5 linked regions of the Coturnix japonica genome follow. The protein of the gene in region 4 binds, or shares a complex with, the protein of the main gene of each other region. Links are inferred from orthologs where the notes say so. Each region holds a gene or a part of one and is shown on either strand. Other genes may lie near its edges. The genes, in order: GNB1, RAMP3, RAMP1, CALCR and RAMP2.

Evidence for each region.
Region 1: the proteins of CALCR (region 4) and GNB1 are in contact, whole or in part, in a cryo-EM structure (PDB 8F0K), measured with the Homo sapiens proteins. The link is inferred for Coturnix japonica from reciprocal best matches to the Homo sapiens genes CALCR and GNB1. Residues at the interface, in NP_001158210.1 of Homo sapiens: Arg174, Ser175, Arg404, Gln408; in NP_001269468.1 of Homo sapiens: Thr47, Arg52, Phe292, Ala309, Gly310, His311, Asp312, Trp339.
Region 2: the proteins of CALCR (region 4) and RAMP3 are in contact, whole or in part, in a cryo-EM structure (PDB 8F0K), measured with the Homo sapiens proteins. The link is inferred for Coturnix japonica from reciprocal best matches to the Homo sapiens genes CALCR and RAMP3. Residues at the interface, in NP_001158210.1 of Homo sapiens: Arg45, Lys46, Met49, Asp50, Gln52, Tyr53, Lys54, Tyr56, Asp57, Met59, Gln60, Arg74, Thr75, Trp76, Asp77, Gly78, Asn124, Arg126, Phe235, Leu238, Ile242, Thr246, Gln257, Arg258, Trp261, Tyr262, Leu264, Leu265, Phe269, Ile276; in NP_005847.1 of Homo sapiens: Cys57, Leu59, Ile63, Tyr66, Glu67, Thr70, Tyr83, Trp84, Pro85, Gln90, Ile93, Thr94, His97, Arg98, Phe101, Ser102, Cys104, Val106, His110, Leu111, Glu112, Asp113, Pro114, Val118, Leu119, Leu122, Ile123, Pro126, Val127, Leu129.
Region 3: the proteins of CALCR (region 4) and RAMP1 are in contact, whole or in part, in a cryo-EM structure (PDB 9AUC), measured with the Homo sapiens proteins. The link is inferred for Coturnix japonica from reciprocal best matches to the Homo sapiens genes CALCR and RAMP1. Residues at the interface, in NP_001158210.1 of Homo sapiens: Arg45, Lys46, Met49, Asp50, Gln52, Tyr53, Tyr56, Asp57, Met59, Gln60, Gln61, Thr75, Trp76, Asp77, Gly78, Asn124, Arg126, Phe235, Leu238, Ile242, Thr246, Val250, Ala251, Gln257, Arg258, Trp261, Tyr262, Leu265, Phe269, Ile276; in NP_005846.1 of Homo sapiens: Trp59, Ile63, Tyr66, Arg67, Ala70, Asp71, Phe83, Trp84, Pro85, Val89, Asp90, Phe93, Leu94, His97, Gly98, Phe101, Ser103, Arg109, Ala110, Val111, Arg112, Asp113, Pro114, Ile118, Leu119, Phe122, Ile123, Pro126, Ile127, Val129.
Region 5: the proteins of CALCR (region 4) and RAMP2 are in contact, whole or in part, in a cryo-EM structure (PDB 7TYX), measured with the Homo sapiens proteins. The link is inferred for Coturnix japonica from reciprocal best matches to the Homo sapiens genes CALCR and RAMP2. Residues at the interface, in NP_001158210.1 of Homo sapiens: Arg45, Lys46, Met48, Met49, Asp50, Gln52, Tyr53, Lys54, Tyr56, Asp57, Met59, Gln60, Trp76, Gly78, Arg126, Phe235, Leu238, Ile242, Thr246, Val250, Glu255, Lys256, Gln257, Arg258, Trp261, Tyr262, Leu264, Leu265, Phe269, Pro273; in NP_005845.2 of Homo sapiens: Trp86, Tyr93, Ser94, Arg97, Asp98, Glu101, Leu109, Pro112, Glu117, Ile120, Phe121, His124, Phe128, Cys131, Pro136, Phe138, Ser139, Asp140, Pro141, Leu146, Met149, Ile150, Pro153, Ile154, Leu156, Ile157, Leu160, Ile161, Leu163, Val164.

The regions. Positions count from the first base shown.
Region 1 is NC_029536.1:1,628,879-1,633,141, forward strand, and holds the start of GNB1 (guanine nucleotide-binding protein G(I)/G(S)/G(T) subunit beta-1), read left to right. Parts: upstream 1-1,460; 5' UTR 1,461-1,777; intron 1,778-2,309; exon of another isoform or gene 2,310-2,479; intron 2,480-4,263. UniProt on the Homo sapiens protein: Guanine nucleotide-binding proteins (G proteins) are involved as a modulator or transducer in various transmembrane signaling systems.
Region 2 is NC_029517.1:42,832,575-42,836,506, reverse strand, and holds the start of RAMP3 (receptor activity-modifying protein 3), read left to right. Parts: upstream 1-1,127; 5' UTR 1,128-1,329; coding exon 1,330-1,381; intron 1,382-3,932. UniProt on the Homo sapiens protein: Accessory protein that interacts with and modulates the function of G-protein coupled receptors including calcitonin gene-related peptide type 1 receptor (CALCRL), calcitonin receptor (CALCR) and G-protein coupled estrogen receptor 1 (GPER1).
Region 3 is NC_029522.1:8,560,584-8,564,535, reverse strand, and holds the start of RAMP1 (receptor activity-modifying protein 1), read left to right. Parts: upstream 1-1,149; 5' UTR 1,150-2,153; coding exon 2,154-2,193; intron 2,194-3,952. Other genes in the region: RNA-binding protein 44-like, read left to right, coding at 39-185, 798-801. UniProt on the Homo sapiens protein: Accessory protein that interacts with and modulates the function of G-protein coupled receptors including calcitonin gene-related peptide type 1 receptor (CALCRL) and calcitonin receptor (CALCR). Required for the transport of CALCRL to the plasma membrane.
Region 4 is NC_029517.1:21,156,665-21,160,908, reverse strand, and holds the start of CALCR (calcitonin receptor), read left to right. Parts: upstream 1-1,440; 5' UTR 1,441-1,676; intron 1,677-4,244. UniProt on the Homo sapiens protein: G protein-coupled receptor activated by ligand peptides amylin (IAPP), calcitonin (CT/CALCA) and calcitonin gene-related peptide type 1 (CGRP1/CALCA).
Region 5 is NC_029542.1:4,631,614-4,635,895, forward strand, and holds the start of RAMP2 (receptor activity-modifying protein 2), read left to right. Parts: upstream 1-1,481; 5' UTR 1,482-2,863; intron 2,864-2,920; exon of another isoform or gene 2,921-2,980; 5' UTR 2,981-3,071; coding exon 3,072-3,132; intron 3,133-3,897; coding exon 3,898-4,026; intron 4,027-4,106; coding exon 4,107-4,209; intron 4,210-4,275; coding exon 4,276-4,282. Other genes in the region: histone-lysine N-methyltransferase EZH1, read right to left, coding at 1-121, 675-721. UniProt on the Homo sapiens protein: Accessory protein that interacts with and modulates the function of G-protein coupled receptors including calcitonin gene-related peptide type 1 receptor (CALCRL) and calcitonin receptor (CALCR). Required for the transport of CALCRL to the plasma membrane.

The sequences.
Region 1 (4,263 bases), on a different chromosome or scaffold from region 4:
AGCCACAGTCTCAAGAACATTTCTGTACATAAAACCTGTGGGAGCTCTGGTATTCAGGTTGTAAGGAGCTAATTCCTGGCCACAATGCACACGCATGTGTATTTTTTTTGTGGGGATGGATTAGAAGTTATATTTCTGTGGTGACAGAATAGCATCAGTTTGGGGGTCTGGTTGGAGAGTCCTTTATTCTAATTTCTCAGGACAAAGAATTAAAGCCTTTGCTCAGCACTTGGCATATTTAAGGACAAGCATTAGATTATCATAAAACAAAGGCTTAACCACACCGGGATTGAACAGTTATTCCTAACAGACACCTGGAATGATAGCTCACCCACTTCCCTACAGTTTAATGGACAAACCTCTTGTTAATTACAGGTAATCACACCTGCCTTCCCAAAAAACATGATAGCAAGTAGCAGTTCAAATCTGCTCCTGTAGCAAGGCATCTCCTCACTGCCTGACTTAACAAAGTATAAGCAAATGGTGGAGGGGGGAAGGGAGGGAAAGGGATATAGATGTGCTGATAGGAAAAAGATATGATGCAATTGTGTACTTACTTTCCATCAATAAGTAATGATGTTTTAATACGTGAGTGCTGCTGTGATCCCATCTTGTGAACCTCTCTCCTGATTCAGCTGGGGGAAGTCTGCTCTGTGAAACAGAAATTGGATTTTTTTGGGGTTTTTTTGTGTTTTTTGTCTTGCTCTTTTCTGCAATGCCTTACAGAGATGAGCGTTTGTGGGGAGAATATGAAAACAGTGATAAAATGGGGGAAAAAAACCCCAAACCCTGAGAATTCTGGCTGTGCAAAAACCTTTGTGATACGAATTCATAAATAATAATAAATAAAAAACAGGAAGTTGTGAGCTGTGTTGTACCACAGCCTGAAATCTGTGAGGATAATACTGTGACACAACAGGGGTTCGTTTCTTTCCAAGGCCTCGAGCCCCATCCCCTACCATTACACCTAGCAGCCGCCAATTCTTACATTTAATGCTCTTTAACCGAAGTAAAACGGTGTGTGCTGCTCCTCCAAACCTCCCTTTGTCCGTTGAAAAAGCAAAAACAGCGCTGTTGATTGTTCTTTTGCTCCGTTTTCACACGCCCCGTTTAACTCTATGAGGGGACGCTGTGAGGGGACGCTGTGGGCGCGGCAGCATGGCGCGGCGGGGCAGAAAGCGAAACCCGCCCGCGCCCTTTGTTCCTGCTACGGGGAGGAACCAGCGGGAGGAGGCGGCGATGGTTCGAATCTCCCCTTCCTGTCAGCTCAGCCTTCCTCACCGACTGAGTTTGACTGACTGAGCAGCGGCTGCCGCCTTCGAAGCAGCGAGGCCCGAGGCGCAGCTCAACGCCGTCGGTGCCGGCGCCACCGCCCGTAGGGGAACGGAGCGGGGCGGAGCCGGGGGCCGGCTGCGGGGCGGAGCGGGGAGCCGAGCCGAGCCGGGGTTTCCCGGCCGGGCAGTCACGGGCGGGGCGGAGGGGGGGGGAGGTTAACCGCGCCCAGGCTCTTGCTTCCCGATGGCTGCGGGGAGCTGAGCGGGGTCCGAGTGTACGAGGAGGAGCCGAGACCCGGTGGTACCCCCGCCCCGCTCCGTCGCTCCTTCCGTGTCTACGCCCCGGCCCGCAGCCGTTCTGCCTCAGGAGCGCAGCGCGGGCGGCTTCCCCCCTCTCCCCTCCGCCGCCGCCCCTTCCCCTCCTCAGGCCGGCGGGGACGCGGGCAGGAGCCGCGGGCGACGGCTGGAGCGGCCCTGTGGATGAACAGCGGCCGGAAGGGCAGGTAACCGTGTGAAGGGACGCAGGGTGGCGGGCGGGGCGGCCATATAGAATCCTTTGGCGTTCCTATCTCCCCGCAGGGAGTCGAGCCTCCTCGTCGAGCCCCCCGTCCTCAGCGCGGCCCCACCCTGAGGCCATCTTCCCTCAGCGCTCTCCTCCATCCCTGGTTCCTTCTTCCTCTGCGTGGCTGCGCCCTTCCACCCCGCTCCCCTCCCCCCGTTCTTCCCCATTGCTGCCGCACTTCTCTTTTCCCTCCTTCCTCCCTTTTTTTTGTCGTTTTTTCGCCTTTCCTCGCCCATCTTCTCCGTCTCCTCAGCCCTGGGCGGGAAGGGCAGCTCGGCGCCCTCAGCATGGCGGGGTGGAAGGACCCCCCCTTCCCCCGCTTTCCCCCATCGCCGTTCGAGCCTCCCCTAAAAAAGAAGCGTGTTTAGAGCCGGGAGAGGAGGAGGAGGTGGAAAAAAAGGTGGGGGTGGCACCGCTGCTCTCCCGAAGGCGAAAAAAAAGAGAGATTGGGGGGGGGGTGGGTTGGATTTTTGTGGGGTTCCATTTTTAATGATCCTTAAGGGTTGGGGGGGTGAGGACGGTGTGAGTTTCCAGAGGGATCGAAGCGACGGGAGGAGGAACGTTGGGAAGAGAGAGTGAAGGAAAAGAAAGGAGCTGTGGTGTGGCTGCTGTAATGGTGGAAAGCTGACGGAGAGAGAGGAGGGTGAGGCACATGCGGGGTGAGACGGCTCCAGCCCTGCGTGTGGGGTCCTGGGGGGGGGGAACGAAGGGAGGGGGACGGGCAGAAAACGTTTTGTTCCCGTTAAAATGGGAGCCAGGATGCGTTTTGTTGGCACATCCTCGTTCCCCCCATCGCTCTGCATATCGCTGTGCTTGTAGCAGCCGTCAGGAAGATCATGGAGGGTGTTTCCTGCAAGAGGAAAAAGGAGCTTTTTTTCTCCTTGAAGATGTTAATACCGCCTCTGCTCCTGCTTTATTATCGATGGTTTAAAATCTGGTTTATTTCGTCTCCTTTTTAACCCGTGGATTGGGGGTTTTAAATGGGAGGGTTGTTATTTCGTGCTGTGAATTACATTAAAGGGGGAAAAAAAAGAGCCTTTTAATTAAAGAAATAACCCAGCAAGAAATCCGAACGATCTAAAAGATGTCAATTTATTATTCCCGAGGGCGATCTGAAATCTTAACAAACGTGATGTTTCATTATTATTCTTTAGCCATAGGTGGGACTGCTTTAAAATAAGGCATTCTTATGCCACGTTATTATGTATTGTCCCCACAGCAGAAAATAGGAGGAAAAGGGATTGAATGTGAGGGGTCCTGGGGATGGCTCTGGGGAATTGATGCCTCAGCTCGGAGATGGAAAAGCGAAAAATTCAAGGTTTTGCTGCCCCTAATCGTGAGACTTAGCCCTTATTTGAAGCTGATCTGGCAGCCACAAGGATGTGTGCATGGAGACAAAACGCTGCCGATGTGTGTGAAATGCATTGCAGAAAACGCAGCCTCTCTTCAGCTCTCAATTGGTTCGAAATGTGACATCTTAAAGGACTTCTCCCCCCCCCCCCCCTTTGTGCTTTAGGAGAGGAGAAAGAGAAGGGACGATAATAGTGTGGTTGTTTTGGTGGCTGCCGATTAAACCAGGGTGTGTGTTTGATTTTCTTTTCGCTGGGAATGAATGGATCTTTCTGTGCCTGGGCCCAGTAGCTGCAACAAGATGGCGTTTGCAGCAAGGCAGCTCTCATTTTTCAACTCCTCCTCACCACAGCTTGGCCAAACTCGATCTTATTTCGTAATTGTATTTAGATTTACTTTCTCGTTGGGTTTGCTTGCTTCTTTTTTTGGGGGTTAAGAGGGGCAGGAGGAGCGTTTGGGAGATTATTGCAAGAAATCGGTGGGTTTTTGTTTTATTCTTTTTTTTTTTTACGTTTTTTTGTGAGCCTTTCCAGATAGGAACTGGGTGGGAGGAGTAAATAGTTTTAGTGTAACATTCACATCGGCCGTTCCTGGACAAAGAGGTGACACAATTTTGAGGTTTTTATTGTGTTTTTTGTGTATTTTTTTTAACCTTGCAGTTCCTGCTTAATACCATCAAAATGTTCTTTGTTTTTCTTAAGCCTGTTGCTGGAAAAAAATGGTATTTTTAACCTAGAAGACAGGTATGCAAAGGCTTTCCTGCCTTTGTGCTGCTGGTTCCTGCTGCTCAGGTAACAGCCAGGTCTCCTGCAGGCGGTTCCCTCCATGGAACATCGAAATCTCCCATCGAAATCTCCCATCTCACTCAGTGCTTGTGGTGGGCGGAGGCTTTTTAGGCTTCTTTTGGCCCCAAATTGTTACCATCCTTCTGTATTTTTATGGGTATGAGTAAGAAAGGCTTTAGGGATATTAAAACAGTTCTGTGTCTCTGTGATACTGTAAGATAATATGGAGATTTATGATATTATAGCTTTGAATTTATTTTTTTTAAGGACCTTGGGTTGATAATTTTGGTGA
Region 2 (3,932 bases), about 22 Mb from region 4:
CTTTTTGAAGTTTAGTTTCACAGTGTACTGTTACAATGATGTCTGTGATTTAATGTTTGACTGAAAGATAGTTACTGAGGTGAATTGTGGCTTTTTATTCTAGAGCAGTACAAATACTTCTAGCTTAGAAAAGGCTTCTTTAGCAGGTTCTCAGCCTGATGTTTCTTTGCAGAGATCCTTATTTCCCAGAGAGAGAAAGAACTCAAGTTCACAGCATTTAAGTATTTATAAAAATGAGGGTCTTACCATTCTCCCTGTGGGCAGGGCCAGACAGAGATGAAACAACACAAAAATAAATCAAGCATCTTTATGGAACTTGTGGCTGCTCTGTTCTGGGTATTAAGTTAGATTTCTGCACATGTTCAGCTCTGGATATTAGTGAGTTACTGTGTTGGTGCTGCAAGTGAGCTAGCACATGTAGCTCTCCAGACCTTCATGCCTTCAACCCACTGCTGGGTTGCAGAGGCAGGAGGTAGGGGCTGCTTCAACTGGAGCAGGTGAAGGGTTCCATTCTCCCCTCTTGGATGCTGGTAGCATGCATGTTTTCTGTGGGTGTGAGAGAGTGAAGCACCCCTTTTAGTTCAGTTTCTTGGGAGTGGTATCATGTTGCTTGCTTGCTGTGGCTTTTGGGGGGCCTGCTGGCATGGTTGCATGTGCATGTGGGCGTGCATATTGATGTATGTGCATAGGTGCACACATGAACCATACAGCTGCACACCCGTATGTATGGATGTACAAATGCTTGCAAATGGGTGCGCACATGCATGCACATGGATGTATATTCACTCACAGAATCACAGAATTGTAGGGGTTGGAAGGGACCTCTAGAGATCATCCGAGTCCAACCCCCCTGCCAAAGCAGGCTCCCTACACATACACTCATTCATGTGTATATGCATGTGTTCACATGGATGCATGCGTATGGATTTGCACAGGCATATGCATGGCTGTGCACATGAATGCACACACATGCACCCACATTCATGGACACAGGCACACTCCTGTACACCTGTCTGTGCAGTGTCGTACATAACCGCACACAAATGCACCCGCCCGCTACTCATGCTCACGGAAAGCGCACGCTCCTGGCGCACCCCCACCCGCATCCCCCGCTCGGATCCTCGCAGCCCGCCCTGCCCCGCCCCGGGAGCACCCCGAGGGCGGAGACGCTGCGCGCTCCCTCACCCGCCTCGCCGCCGCCCGGGGCCGCCCGCCGGGGCGTGAAGGAGAGCCTGCCCTGTGGGAGGGAGTGAGACGGCCGTGGCATTGCGCGGCTACGGATCATCACCCCATGTGGGCTCCGTCCTTCGCGGCCCCATCCGCGCTGGGATGGAGGCGTCCGTCCGTTGCCGGCGGCACCTTCCCGTCCTGCTGCTTTGGGGTAAGCGGGACGCCGGGCCAGGGCGAGGCGGGGTAGTGGGTAGCAGCTTGTCGTCCCTAGGCTTTCCGCCCTCGCAGGCGCGGGGCTGAGCGGCTGCAGGGCGGCTGCACTGCGGGTACGGCGCGGCTTCTGCCCCCGAGCAGCATCTCGCAGGGAGATCTGTTCGCTGCAGTACGGTATGGTATGTGCATCCCTCCCGAAACTGAACTGAGCAGCACTGCTTGCCGTTCTAGCTGGGAGCCCCAGTCCGGTGTCTGTGAAGCAGTTCCGAGTGCGTGAGAGGGGAAAATTTTCACTGGTAAAGGAAGGGTTATTTTGTGTTAGAGTGGCTGGGTTGCTCACGAGCAGTGGTAAAAGTGCAGATATCTTTCAGACCTTGCACTTAAGGAGAGATCAGCTCTATTTCCAGAACTACTTGAGTGGCTTGTTTATTTATTTATTTAATTATTCATCATCAGGTAGGTTGTCTTAGGACTCTGAGATACAGTATGTTGTGGTCAGTCAGAAGTTTGTGTCAGATGACAGCTCTGAACTTCACTCCACAGTAACCTCCAAGATGCAGCTAATGTGTCATGGATAGGAGAAAAGAAAATCAGCCTTGTAGATTTAGACTGAGTACTACTTAAACTTTGTTTGCTAGCTTCTTACTCTTTCCAAAATGTAAAGCTGGTAAACACTGGAAATACCAGTAACTATATTGACTGTTACACTGACAGTGTTAGGTAATGTTGTCTTGATCTCCCTGTCACAAGAATGTAATGCCAAATAAATAGAGTTTGGAATTCTCCATGTCTTGAGGACTGCTAAAGCCTTACCTTGATCATTTGGATTTTTTTTCCTTTTCCAGCTGTTGAGGAATAATAATAGTAAAAAAAGGCTAACACCTACCTTGGCACATGATAATTTGTGCAACCTTGAGCTTAGTGAATCAACCAGTAATTTTTCTGAGTGGGAAATCCTCCTGATGTTACTGTGACTCTTGCAATGTGAAATTACAGAAGATTTTGGAGAGCGTGTAATGAGGAGCAATGTTGCTGTGGTTCTGAAAACTAGCAGTTATTTTTCACCAGAAAGGAACAGGTAAATCAATTGTGCCAGGCAGTTTTTGACTGTGCTTGTTGCTTGCCTAATAGCACTAACTAAATGGTTTTAAGGATATCTGATGACTGATAATGTGTTACTGTTGCTATAAGTTAGGAAGGATAGATATATTCAAAAACTAGACTAAATCATAGACATTTCCTGGTAGAAAAGCCATTTGGGAGCCCTGAAAATTTTGAGACATGAAATCTTGTGTGTGTATTTCTCCCTTTTTTCTAATGGCTTCTTTTGATTAACCAGAGAGCCATAAACTCTCTGTAAGCTGAAGAGTTGTCCAAGACTGGTAAGGAGTATCTCAAGTCAACACTAGTCAATCAACATCACTTTGTGGATAGTTTTACATTTGACAGTGTTTCTTGGGAATGTTTTCCTTCGAATGGGAGGGCCCAGGAGTGTCTGTTGGCTGAAAACTTGTCCTGTGAGCAAAGGATTCCAGCTTGATACGGAAGACTGGGAAATGATACCACTGTACCCTGTGAAGATGATACAAGCTGACGTCTCCCTGCTTCCTCTTATCTCCTGATTTAAATTTACAAAGCATGGAAGACAGGAGCAAAGGAGTTCCTGCTGTGATCCTGAAGCCAGAAGCTGTCACTCTCTTGAGCAGGCTCGACCACTTTGGACTATAAGTAAGAGGTTGTACTGTTGTCCTACTTATCAGCTGAACAACACAACCTCCTGTGAACTACCACTACTAAAGATCAGAATCTGACACCAAGACGTCATTGGTTTGAAGAGTGGTGAACCTCTTTGCTTCGCAGTTTGTACATCTGTCCATCTGTGTCACTTTCCCCATTTTCTATCTTTTATCTTTACAATCTTTTGTTCCTTGTAGTAGCCGTTGCCTAATGTTTTCTTACCTATAATGCTCTTTTTTTTTTTTCCCTCTCTGAGTATTAGTTATCGTTAAGAAAGCTCTCAGTAATAAATTCGTGTATATTTTTCCTCCAAGTCTGGGATAGCTCCATTGCGGTAGTGACCCCTGCTGACTATGGGAGACGCGACACGTGAAATAGATTTACCTCTTGAAACCTGCGGAGTGGGACAGGAGTCCTCAGTGTTAGCGCTCTCTGAATGCTATAGGAAGCTTGTCTTGTAAGGGACTGGAACCTCACTTCTGCATACTCACACCACTGCCTTCTGCCTGTCTTTCTGTTTATGGCTTTTAAAATATTATCATTACGTAGAACCATCTGTTGTACTGTCCCTCTTTGCAAAGATGGCAAAAAGGCAGTTGTGTGTGTTTCCTGGAAGCACAGAAATTATAGAAGTTGGATTTGCTGTGACCTGTATGCACATCTGTTGGGATGAAGGAATCTGTGAGCTGAGGCAGCTGACACATAGGCACGTAACTGATACTGTTCCCATATGAAGTGTAGATGCTTAGAAGTTATCTACCAACTGTAGGGTAGGATCTAAGCAACTCAGAAGTAGTGATGCATCTACAATA
Region 3 (3,952 bases), on a different chromosome or scaffold from region 4:
ACAAGTGATGTCAGCAGCTGTTTATGTTGCTCCTACAGAGATAAAATCGTGGATGCTCTGCTGGAGGTGAGGAAGAACAATAATGGTGTCCTAAGTGGCTTGTCCATCAGTTCTATTATGGAAAGGGCCTCTGTAATCCTAAGGAAACCAACGGCTGTTTGTACAGGGAAAGGCAGTGGCGATCAGTAAGTATTCCAGCCTACAACATAGATGTGAATTAATCTAGCTGCATAGCCTGACAATGAGAGCTCCCTAGGAACCTGTTCCTGCACAATGAGTATGAATCACTACAACAGCAGATTCTAAAGATGAGGTGCTGCTGCAGAACGTCTGTGAGCAGAGCAGCTTGCTGGCTCTGTGCACTCATCAACCTGGGTGCAATGGGGGTTTCACTGTGCGGGTTTTATCGATGAACGTAGTGGAGTAAATTAACAATGTTCTGGCCAAAGGTGACATCTAGTGGCCAGTTCCTGTGCAGCATTTCACAGAGGAACTCCAGGCTCGATTCTGGTTTAAAACCTGACGATTTTTTCTCTTGTGTGATATTTATTCCTGCTGTAGGTACTGAACAGAATAAGTTTGCTTGTCCCTTTGCATTTTAGCGTAATAACTTTTTGGTACGCAGTTCTCAGGGCTAGGAAACCTCGCTCCTGCATGCAAACTTCTGCCCTCCATAGTAAAAGCAATACAGCCTCTAGTGGTGCTCTGGGATGCTGACAACGCCGCTGTTTTGTTTCGCCTTACACGTGTTCAGGCAAAACTTAATCTGCTTTTCCTTTATCTTCCTTTCTGCGTAGATGATGTAATGAAGAACCGACCACTTCACATGACAGATTTTTGCAGTCCAGCTCGCTCCGGGATTGTTCTGTCCTTCTTGTTTGTTTGATTTCGTGACAACTCGCTTAGCATTGCTGTTTGGTTTGCAGTTCTGTTTGACCGAACATAGCCCCAAGTTCTTTTCAGCTTTTTGTGCAGACAGATATTGAGTAATTCTTCCCAGTTTGGTTGTTCTGTGTAGTTCCCCCTGTTTCTTATGAGGTTTTAAGGCTCCCATTTTAGCACGTTGAGACTTATAGCAGCAGGACTTCTTTCTGCTGAAGCACACAAGCCCCGGCTCCCGGTGCCGCTCTGTGTCAGGCACGGTGATAGCTGCCATGCTAACAAACAGCCGGCACGCTTACGTGCTTTCCAGATAACAGTTCCAAATAGTGGGCAGAAATGTCAAGTATCCTTTTCACGCAAGGCAGGGGAGGGAGAGGCAGCAAGGGCCGGCTTGCAGATCGCACGGCGCTGGCAGTGCGCTTACATAAGCCCCGTGCTGCAGCGGCTGCTCTGAGCAGAGCCTTGCCCAGGAGGGCTGGGTCTAGAAGCTTTTCTTTTGGGTCCTATAGCACTGTGCAGGGGAAAGCCTCTCCCACACAGACCCTCCCCGAGGTCTGCTTTGGGTTGATACGGGAGCACCCAGCCTTTTGTTTGCCCGTGGAGCTGCTCCCGTGGTTTTACATCCTCTTCTGGCGACGGAAGGAGAGGCAGCTGGGTGTGTGCCTGCTGTGGGGCTGAGGGAAGAAGCCAGCACTGATTGTCACTGGCGGGCGTGTGCTGTCATACCACTCATTGCTGTCCATCTCTGTCCCTTGGCTGTACTTTGCTCCTGGCTGCCCGTGCTGCCGAAAGCAGCCTTACCGTGAATAAAGGTTGAGATTCCTTCTGCCCAGAGTTGTGCTGTCGTTTTGCTATTTCCACCCCTCACTATTTGCTCTCCCCTCGCCGTGGTGGCAAACGCATCCCAAGCCCCGGTGCTGCGCTGCCAGGCGCTGCTGCTGCTTTATCCCGAAGCTGCGGGTCCAGCCTCCGCTTTGGTTTCCTCCCTGCCCGCACCCAGCTGAGCGCTTCGCCCTACCGCATCCCTAACAGCACACACCGCCCTCCGTGCTCCCTAGTTGTGCAACGAGATGGGCACGGTGCTTTACGGAGGGAGGCGTTCTGCTGCGACGAGAAAACGGGGATGTCCGTAACGCAGAGCGCTGCCGATTCCCGCAGGTGGAGCTGTGCGAACTCGCTTGATTTCTGTTAACACGAAACAAGCACCAAGGACGGGCACGATCGCGCCGCAGCTCCAGGCGAGGCGGCAGCCGGGCCCCTTGCTGCTGGCCATGGCACTGCTGCCCCGCCGCTTCCTCTGCTTCGTGCTGGGTGAGTTGGGCTGCCCCGGCATCCAGGGGGGAGAGGGGGACCCTGAGAGAGGCTCCTGAACGCGGGCTGTGCGGGCTCTGCCCGCTCCGCGTTGGCTGCGGGGGGAACGGGAAGGAGCGGCCGTTCCCAAGTGCTGAGGAGCGATGGGAGTTGGGCTCTGTGTGTGCTGCCGGCGATGCGGTCCGACACGGTCCTCTGTGCGCGGTGGGATGCACTGAAGAGCGCTCACGTCAGAAGACATCCCCTGCCTTTCGCTTCCAGTGCAGAAATTAACGACAGGGAAACCGCTCTAGGAGGGGTCTCTCCGTTTTTTTTCTCCGTTTTGCCATTTCTTAACCAGGCGAGAGGAGAGGAGCCAGCCAGAAGTGCTCCTTCTGGCCAATGCTTCTGAGCTGGGGATGGATTTGCAGGTGGGAGACCGCCGGTCACTTTGGGAACTCCTGCATCAGCCATCTGCTTTCACAAGGCGTGAGGTCTCCTCGATGTTGGTAGGGTTTCGTGCGCAACAGGTAGAGGATTGGCTTATAACCCGAGTATACTCATTAAAAACCTTACCACTGTGCTTTGGTACTTTGTGTGAGAAGCATATTTAGGATTGCTTAAAAAAGAAGCCGCACAGTGCCATGCAGCTGCTTTTGCGTGACACTGAAGTGCTCCTTGAGGAAACATAGCCTTGTTCTTTCCCCGTTTGCACTTTAGTGCAGGTTTTCTCCTGGTACCCTGCTGAATAATGCATGGGGCTGCACTGGGCTCATCCCAGCGCTGTCATTAACTGCACTGCTCTGTAGCTGCAGCTCGTTCAGGGGGAGTTAGGGCAGGCAAAGTGCACTCTGCTCTGCTAGGTGGGACTGTGAGGTACCACTGCCAGCACACAGCAGCTCCTGCTGCTGTAAGATTTCTGTCTGCAGTCCCTTTCCCTTCTCTAGGGTCACAAATGTAAGCCGGCTTCTGGGACATGACCCCACGGGGAGCTCGAGGCAGTGTCCCTCGTGATGGGATCCCTGCTGCTTTCCCCTTCCAGGGGTGGAATTCCCCCACCTTATTCCTGTGGTCACTCGCATTGTTCCCATCTGTGCAGAGCCCTAAACCCAATCTTTGCTGTTCTTTAACTGGTGAAACATCCAGGTGGAAGGAAGTCATGGCCAGGAGGCTTTCCTGGTTTGGCTGCAGGACTTCTGCTCGTTCTTTTACTGCACCTTCTGCCACGTGGTTTGGGTTCAGGGGCTTTGGAAATAACAGAGCGGGAGCTGGTGGTACTCCAGGCTGCTCTTTTCCAGTTCCAGCACTCACAGCAGGACGTCTGCCTCAGTGTAAGCCACTTAGCTGTGATAGATGGCAGCTAATCCTGGCGCTGAGTTGGGGATGCATTTCTTTCGCTGTGTCCTTTTGCAGGCTTTTATTTTAAAGTATGTCCTGCTCTAGTTGGGTGAAGAAAAAAAAAGAAGAAAGATTAAAAGAAAAAAAGCCTGTTTGTTCCTTCCTGCTCCATGTCTGTGCACAGATGTGGCTACACTGGGGGTGACCGCTGAGACAGTGGAGTGGTGAATGCTGAGGTCGCTGATGCTTCTGATGAAGCAGGTGTGGATTTTCTTTTTCAGAAAGGAAAGATCAAACAAGCTGTGCTAACAGATGTGCCGGCAGAGTATGAGTGCCGAGGCAGACACAGAGAGCTCAGCTCTCAGAGTGCAGGGGCTTTGCTGAGCCCTGGCTGCCGTGCCAGTGCAGCTCCTCGTGCTGAGCTGTGGTCTCATGGTGCAGC
Region 4 (4,244 bases):
GATCTACCCTCTCAACTGCTTCTGAAACTGCCAGTAAAGAAAACATTCCAAGCTTCCAGATCTTTAAAGGTAATGGCCTTAAGTTGCACCAGGGGAGATTCAGGCTGGATATGAGGAAAAAGTTCTTAGAAGGAGTGGTGAGGCATTGGCACAGGCTGCCCTGTGAGGTGGTGGAGTTACCGTCCCCGGAGGTGATCAAGAAACACGTGGATGTGGGACTGAGAGCCATGGTGAGGATGGCTTGGTGGTTGGACTAGGTGAACTTAGTGGTCTTTTCTTAATGATTCCATAATTCTGTGATCTCCAGCACTTAGCATGGAGCTGATCTTGCTGGGTGGCAATGGGCCCTCAGCAGTGCTGTGCATCAGGCTCTGGGCACAGTGCAGCCCATGGAAGTGGGGAGCGATGGGGGGTTGTAGAGTCTCCTTCTCTGGAGATACTCAAGACCCACCTGGACGCCTACCTGTGTGACCTGGTGTAGGGAACCTGCTTTGGCAGGGGGGTTGGACTCGATGATCTCTGGAGGTCCCTTCCAACCCCTATGATTCTGTGAAATCTCCACCAGGTCCCTGCTTCTGCCAGAGATCTGCCAGCAGCAAAGTAAGCACGACAATGTGAGAGCTCGCGTCCCATAGACTCTCGCTATTTCTTTAAGAGAAAGAGCAAAGCCTACAGCGAAGGCTGAAATCTGAAGGGGACGACGGTTGAGTCGCCCTGACTCCCGCTGCCCCCCGGCTCCACCTGCTGGGAGCTGCCCGCTGCGCGTTCGGAGGCAGCGCGGGGTGAGAGCTCTCACCGGCTGAGGATGTGTCAGCCGGGGACGTGAGAGCACCGGGAGCTGGCACAGCGCGGTGTCGCTCCTCAAGCCCCGACAGTCGCTGCTCCCTCACTGGTACGACTCTGCTCCCTCCGGTGCAGCGTGGGGCGGAGGGGAAGACCTCTTCCCTGGCTCTCCTTGTGCTTAAAAGGCTCGCATAACTTTTGGAACGGGGGTTTGGATGACTGCCGGCACCGACTGCAGTTTCCCTCACGGCAGCCGGGACCCCGCTCCCTCAGCCCACGCTCCTCTCCCCTCGGCCCTGCGTCCCCCTGGCTTTTCTCTCCCTAAACGCGAGCTGGGCTCGGAGGAACTTCTCCGGGACGAGGAGGAGGAGGCGGCAGGAGCGCACAGAGCCACGCTCCGCGGAGGAGAGCCCTGAAAGGCACCGCGCCTTCACGGCACGCAGTGCCCAGCAGCAGCGGCTCAGTCACCTCGCCCCCATCTCCACCACCTCCACCAGCACCACGCGGGTGACGGGACTCCACGCTGCCACCCCCGCCTCCTCCGCGGGGCCGCCCCCGCCCCGCCCGCTCGGCGTGGCCGCCCCGCCGGCATCAGGCGGCCGGGAGCCGCGGGGAGGCGGGCGCGGGGGAGGCGCTGCTGCCGCCGGGCTCTCTCCATCCGCCCCGCACCGACGTCGGCGCGAAGCCCTCCCGGCGCCCGGGGGGAGGGAGAGAGGGAGATCGCGTCGCGGGCGAGAGGGGGTGGATGCTCGCAGAGGTGCGGCTCCGCAGGAGGGTCTCGGCTCTGGGCTGAGCCGCAGCGGGACGCGGAGTGTCTGGGTGTCCGAGCTGCGAGGGCCGTCCGGGAGCCGGCAGCCGTGGAGCGAGCAGAGGGCGCCGGGAGAGCGGCCGCAGTAAGTGCCGGTAACTTCGCCGCTCCGTGTGGGCGAGGGGTGGAAGAGAGTCGGGGAGCGAGCCGGGAAGGGAAAGCAAGGCGAACAGTGAAAAGGGAGCGGGCTGAATGGGTCCGAGCTGGGGCTGCCGGCGTGGCGGCTGGGGGACACCTGAGTCCGCAGCAGCGCTGCCCGCTCTGCCCTGCACGGTGTCCGCGCTCCCTCCGTCCCGCAGGGCTCCCGCTGTGATGATAACGGTGTAAAAGCGGCACTGGTCCGTCTCGGAGCGGTGCCGCTGGTGACGGTAGGTTGATGTATGAGGCTATTTACTCTGTGTGTCCAAGCACAATATAAACGCCTGCCAATTTTGTCTTCAAATTGCTGTATTGATTTCATTCTTGCGGGCTTCTTGACAAGGTTAAGGTAGTTGACAGTTCGTAAGGAAAAGAGAAAAACTTCTGGTTTATTTTGGTAACTGAATGTCGTTTGTAGCTGAAATGGTGCACTAAAAAATCATTCATAAAAAGAGAAAATGGGAAGATGCGATCCCCAGACCTCCAATAGGAAAACGTGATCCCTGGACCTTCTGCACTCAGTATTATCAATACCAGATGCCCTCCTGCCACACTGCTGTGCCCACCTGAACCTCAGGGTAACACAGTATTCTCCCTGAGACTACATGCCTCCCCGTTACAGTTACATAGTTGAGAATGAATGAAGTCAGCCATTGCGTTACTGCACGCTTTGTCTTTCCGCCAGCTCAGATTCAAACTGAGATCCTGCTCCTTTCCCCCGGTGCTGGCAGGGCAGTGTTTGGCAGGAGGCCCCATGCCTGCCCCCAGAAGGATCTCTGTGCTGCTTCTCTGCTCTCAGCAGCTGAGGTTGATGACGGAATTTAATTCACCACTCGTACAGTAATTGTGAATTAGGGAAATTAAATACAGGAGAGCAAGTGTTTCCTCTGAATATTTCCAGACAGCTGTCAGCCTTTACCATTAGGTAACCTTTGCTAAGTTGCCTTTGTGGTAACTTACATACAGTGGCTGACATGAAATTGTGCTGGATGAACTAAAACCTTCCTGACAGTGCCACTGTATGCTAACTGTGTAAATCTTGGGTAAATCATGTCACCTTACAGACCAACTCCTAGGGTAGGTTTAGCAATAGGTCTTTATCACTTGAAGAGTTGGTATTAGCCAACTTTGGCTAGAAATTCAAGTGATGGTGTTTAAATTTGACTCTCCACAGCAGCATTTTGAAATCATGGGTGATGGGCACAGGGATCTTAATGTTTAAAAATGGCTACACATAACAAGCTGTTTTGTACTTTCATGAAAAAATAGGCCATTCAGACCTGCCTTACACTCATATCTTTATGGGCATTTTCATCAGAATGGTATATAAGCAAGTTTGACTGCTGCTTGCATATGTACTGTATTATAACACAGGTATTCAGACAGTGTGGAGGCATAGCAAATTATGTTGCTTGTGACAAAGGCATTTACAAATAAACAGCTAATATTTGATTTACTATAGAATTATTGGCTATTAATAAGAGTTCTGTTATTATGGTCTAGTTCTCTATAGCTCATGAGCTTTAAGGAGAGGTGAAGGAACAGAAGCATCCTTTCTAAAAGCCTTCTTGAAATAGTACTGCATAAAATATGTGCAAGAATTAATTTATTAAGCTCACCAAATCCAGCTTAGCAAACCTTTTTCTTTCAGATCTACAAGGAGAAGGCTTTTGAAAACCTTTTGAAAAAACTGAGAATTTTCATCCAAAATGAAGGCGGTCTTGTGTAGAACGTTTTGCTTAAGTGCCTCCCTTCCAATCTACCTCCCGTATCAAAGTGGAATGGGACACTGCTGAAAGTTACCCAGTTAGTGTTGAATGTTAATTAAAAGCTGTTGTCTAACAAGCACTTGATACAACCAAATTCAGATCTTGTCATTTTAATAATGCCGTCGTGACCAAAATAGCTGCCAATAATTTCCATCAGTTTTGTGTAAGCAAACATGGAAGAAGGAAAAGCTTATCATGACTTAGAGCTCCTAAAAAGTCATTGCCCAGAAGAAAGACCGCTCTATATTTCCTTTTATAATGATGTATATGAATACGGGTTTTGGAAAAAATGAGCAATGAAATAATTGAGCTACACTTGCCTGGAAGCTGTGATAGCACGTGCCGTGAGATTTGGTTTTGCAAATGCTCATCTGTTCTACATATCAGTAAGCTCATTTTTATTTATTTTTTTCTGATAATTGGGGTTCAGATCCTAATTGCTGCCATTAGAGTCAATATTAAATCTTCTCTTAATGCTCATACTGGTCTCAACTGAGCCTTCCAGGAGCCATCCTGGTACATGCTGAGCACTTCCAATTCCTGCTGCTTGTGTCAGAGGGGCATCTGGGCAGAGAAAAATTCACTCCCTTCAGAAACTTGTGGTGTAGGTAACAGAGCCAGAGACACCTTGCTGAAGGCCCTGCTGCAGGTCTGGAACATCAGTACTGGCTGCTTAACAAGGGTACACTGAGCAGCCTTAACAAGATTGAGCATTCATGCTTTCGATGTAGGTACCCTCAAATAAG
Region 5 (4,282 bases), on a different chromosome or scaffold from region 4:
CTTTGCTCCCATGTTTGCCTGAAATCTCTTGAGCTGCCGGAGACGCATATATTCAGACTTGACTTTTCTTTTCCAATACATAATACACTTTGATGTTGGAGGAGTGGCGATTTCCATTTTTCTATGAAAATACAGTAAGAATAAACTCACAGAACGATGAGTTAGAAGTGACCTTAAAGCCCCTCCAGCCTCATCCCCTGCCATGAGCTGGGTGCCCCCACCAGCTCAGGCTGCTCAAGGGCCCCACCCAGCCTGGCCTTGGGCACCTACAGCTCTCTGGGCAGTAGTGCCAGGACCTCACCACCTCTGAGGAGTGAATTGCTTCCTCACATCTGACTTAAGCCTGCCCTCTATAGCTTATGGACAGTCCCCCTTGTCTTGTCGCTGTCCAAGCAGCTCTCCTTCCTGCTTGTAATCTTTCGATTCACAGGGCGCTGGGAGGCCAACATGTCAGGAGCAGTGTTACATCCAGCTCAGAATATCTCATTGCCAGGAGGCTGGGAAGGACATTGCGCAGGCTGTCAGCACAGGACAGCTCCTGGCTGGGAATACACAGTGCGACCTGATGGAGAAGTTGGAGCCGGGGGTTTGGGCATCGGGCATCGCCCTGTGAGCCCAAGGGACGCTTCAGCTCCCATCCAGGAGTCTGAGTCCCCGGCCCGGGCTGTACGTACCCAGCGGGCCGCTCCACTCCACCCACGGGGGTTCCCTGGGCCCCCATCACCGCAGCCTCCAGCCACGAGGGGACACGGGGACCCCCGGTGGCTGCCGGGACGGTGACACTGCGGAGTGTCCGGGACAGGCCTCAGCCGCTGCCCCGCCCGGTGCCCGCTCCCAGGCCTCACCCAACCCCCGGGCGCTGCCCCGTCCATCGGGCCCGGCGCACCCCATACAACAGCCCACGGTCCCACGGGGCCCCACGGGGCCTCAGGGGACTTAGATCTGCCCCCTACGAGCAGCCGCCAGCCCCCACAGGGCACGGCACTACCACGGCACTACCACGGCACTACCACGGCACTACCGCCCCGCTCCATCCCCCACCCCCGCCGACCCCTCGCTCCCTCCCGGGCCCCTCCCGCCGTGCCGGGCCGCCCCCCGCCCCCCGCCGGACCCCAGGCCCCGCCCCGCCCCGCACTCACTCCTCGGCCATCGCGCCGGGGGAGGCCGCGCTCCCCGCGCACTGCGCATGCGCCGCCGTAGCCCCGCCCCTCGCCGCCGCCCCGCCCCGCGCGGTGCAGCCCCGGAGCTGCGGCTCCGACCGGGAAGGGCGGCGCCCCGCACCGGAACCGGCCGCTCGCGGCCCGGCCCCGCCCGGCTCCACTCGGCTCCGCCCGGCCCCGCTCTGCTCGGGGCTGCGGCCGGGCGCTCCCTTCCCCAGCCGCGCTCCCGGCCGGGCCCCTTCCTTCCTTCCTTCCTTCCTTCCTTCCTTCCTTCCTTCCTTCCCCTCCGCCCAGCCGGAAGGAGCGGGGGGAACCCGCGGGTCCCTGTCCGGGCAGTGAGCGGGGCCGTTGGCTGCTCATCCCACAGCTCAGCCCCGGTCCTGGCCGTATCTGCTGCCTTTGAGCCCGTCCTGCTGAGTCGGGCAGAACCTTCCGCCTTCCCTGACATTGGGTTGAGCGCGGGTGGAAGGTGCCGAGATGAGCTCGGTGATACGCCCCGGCACGGGGGGAAGCTGCAGCCGGTGGGAAGATGCTCGTCGGGGCTGCGGCTCCTGCTCCCACTACCGGCAGAACCTGGGGTCTGGGTTGGACCCAGCGCAACCCCCGCAGCCTCACTGCCCACACTGCGCTGAGCCCCAGAGCGCAACGTGGGCAGCTGCAGAGCGAGTCAAAGCAGCAGGCGGGGTCCAGGCTGCGTCTGTGCCCGTTGTGCCATGGGCCGAGGCTGGCAGCAGGGCTCGGGACGGCTGCAGCCCAGCCCAGAACATGGGAAATGCTTCCCCCGCTGCTCAGTCGAGTCCCCCTCACAGCACTGCAGCCAAGGGCTGGGGGGAGCTTGCAAAATGGGGCTGGGGAGCAGTGGGTGCTGGCAGACTGCCCCGGCTGTGCAAGGAGTGGCCGGCTGAGATCACCGGGTGTCACCCTGGCAGAGGCTCCTGCTGCCGGCTGCAGCTCCAGGGCTGTGACAACAAAGTGCAGAATGGGGCTGTGACTTTGTGCCGCAGCCTCGTGGGCTCCCGGTACCGCTGAAGGGCTCCCAAGTGCCAGGAGGGTGGCGGCTGCCTCAGCCTGCACATAGCACGTGCAGTGTGTTGCAGCAGGAATGTGCAGCACAGCAATAGAATCCTTCCAAAGCAGGGAGGGTCCCCATGAACTGCAATTCTCTGCTGTGTGATTTGTGCTCTGTGAGTCCCATGAGTGGATTTTAAAGGGAAAGCTTTGGGCTGGAGCTCAGCCTTTGGCAAGCAGTTAGATGAGCTCGCGTGGCCTGAGCTCCATCCCCGGGTGGGGACCCTGCAGAGCCAGCACCGCGCTGCCCTGAGGTGGGAGCCGAGGTGGCACGGGATGAAGAGGAGCTCTGCAGCCACAGTCCCTCGCCCCATCCTCTCCTCCTGCCTGCTTGAGGCTCGCACACCCGTGGTACCGCCGCCGTCCCTTCCAGCCCCACCCGTGCCCCCGGGGCAGGTGCCACACGGCGCCATGAACACGGGGCTGGGGCCGTAACGACCCCGAGCCTCCAGCAGAACCCTCCGGGGACGTCCTGCTCCACCGTCCACTCCCCCCGCTGCCGGGCTGCCTGCCCTCCACGCAGGAGACGAGGGATTTCACAACCCAGCCCAGACAGGATTAAAGAGAAATACACAAGTAAACAAACAGCGGCCTTGTGAAGCGGCCGTGCTGCGGGAGCCCCTCTGCTGCCCAGGGTGAGGTGTGGGGCGATGCCCGGGGGTCCGACACTTGCTGCACAGCGGTGGGGTCCTGTGGGGAGGGCTGCCTCAGAGCAGCACTAAGTAATCTCATTTTTCACACGTCTCCTGTAGTTCAAACAGCCCCTGTCAGAGGAAAGGAGTTGCTTCCTGTTATTTCCATTGAAATCCTTGTCCCGGTCGCTAGCCCGCAGGCTCCAGCAGGATGGCACCGTATGCGCAGATGGGCTCTGGCTGCCTCTCCCGAGGGCTCCTGCTGCTCTGCGGTAAGTGCTCGGCCCCACAGCACGCGGCTGCACCCCGGTCAAGGCAGGACTTGTGCTGGGTGAGCGGGACACAGTGCTACGGCAGCCATCCAGCACCACCGGGCACTGTGGGCGGCCCCTTCCCCTTGGTGGGCAGCGATGGAGCGTCTGAGGGGACCCGGTCTGGATGGCAGCTGTGCCCTGGGCAGGGAGCGTGCCAGGGCCAGGGGACTGGGCGCTGGGGGCACGTGGGCTGCCCTTGCTGCCACAACTGTGCCAGTGCACAGCCGCTGTGCCGGCCCACAGCACACGGCCAGCCTGCACAGGCCACAGCAGAGTAGCTACCAGGGTGGTGTGCCATGCCCACACCGAGGGTGGAAAACAGACAGGAGTGATCCTGATTCTGGGGTCTGGTGGGGCCTGAGGGGCTGTGCCCCATGCCAGTGAGTTCCACAGACGGGGGGGGGCGGCAGGAGGCTCTGTCTCGTGGCTGTGCTGCGCTGCGGTCAGCACTTCCTCTTCCCGATTGGAAATAGGTGCTCCCTGCCCCAGTGCCAGGCGCTGAGTGCAGCACGGCCCCACGGTGCTGGTGGCCCCCAGTCACCCCGTCACCCTCCATCCCATCACCCCGTCACCCTCCATCCCATCACCCCGTCACCCTCCATCCCATCACCCCGTCACCCTCCATCCCATCACCCCACCGCCTCCCTGGGCCTCCTCGTTCCCATCACTGCTGCAGACCCGTGGCTCCCCCTCCTCAGTGCTCAGCATGTCCCCCTCCTGCAGCACTGCTGGTCCATGAGTTCTGCCGAGCGGGTGCCACGGCCGAGAGCTTTGGGCAGGAGGCAAGAACAACCCCAGCGGCCAGAACAACCCCAGTGACGCGTGTGTTCAACTTTACGGCTGAGATGTTGGGTGAGTGTTGACCCCTTTCCTCATCCCCAAACCCCTCCAAGGCCGCCCCATGGCTGCGCTCAGTGCCCACCCCCACACAGAGGTGATCTACACCAACTTGACACAGCGCTGCTGGGAGTCCTTCGAGCAGCTGATGCAGAACGTGAGCGGTTCCCAGCTGTGCGAGTGGAAGGTCATCAGCAGGTAGGGGGGGACGGGGGCACCGAGCCGGGGGTGGCGGGCAGCCCAGTGAGCTGTGCTTCTCTGCAGGCCGTAC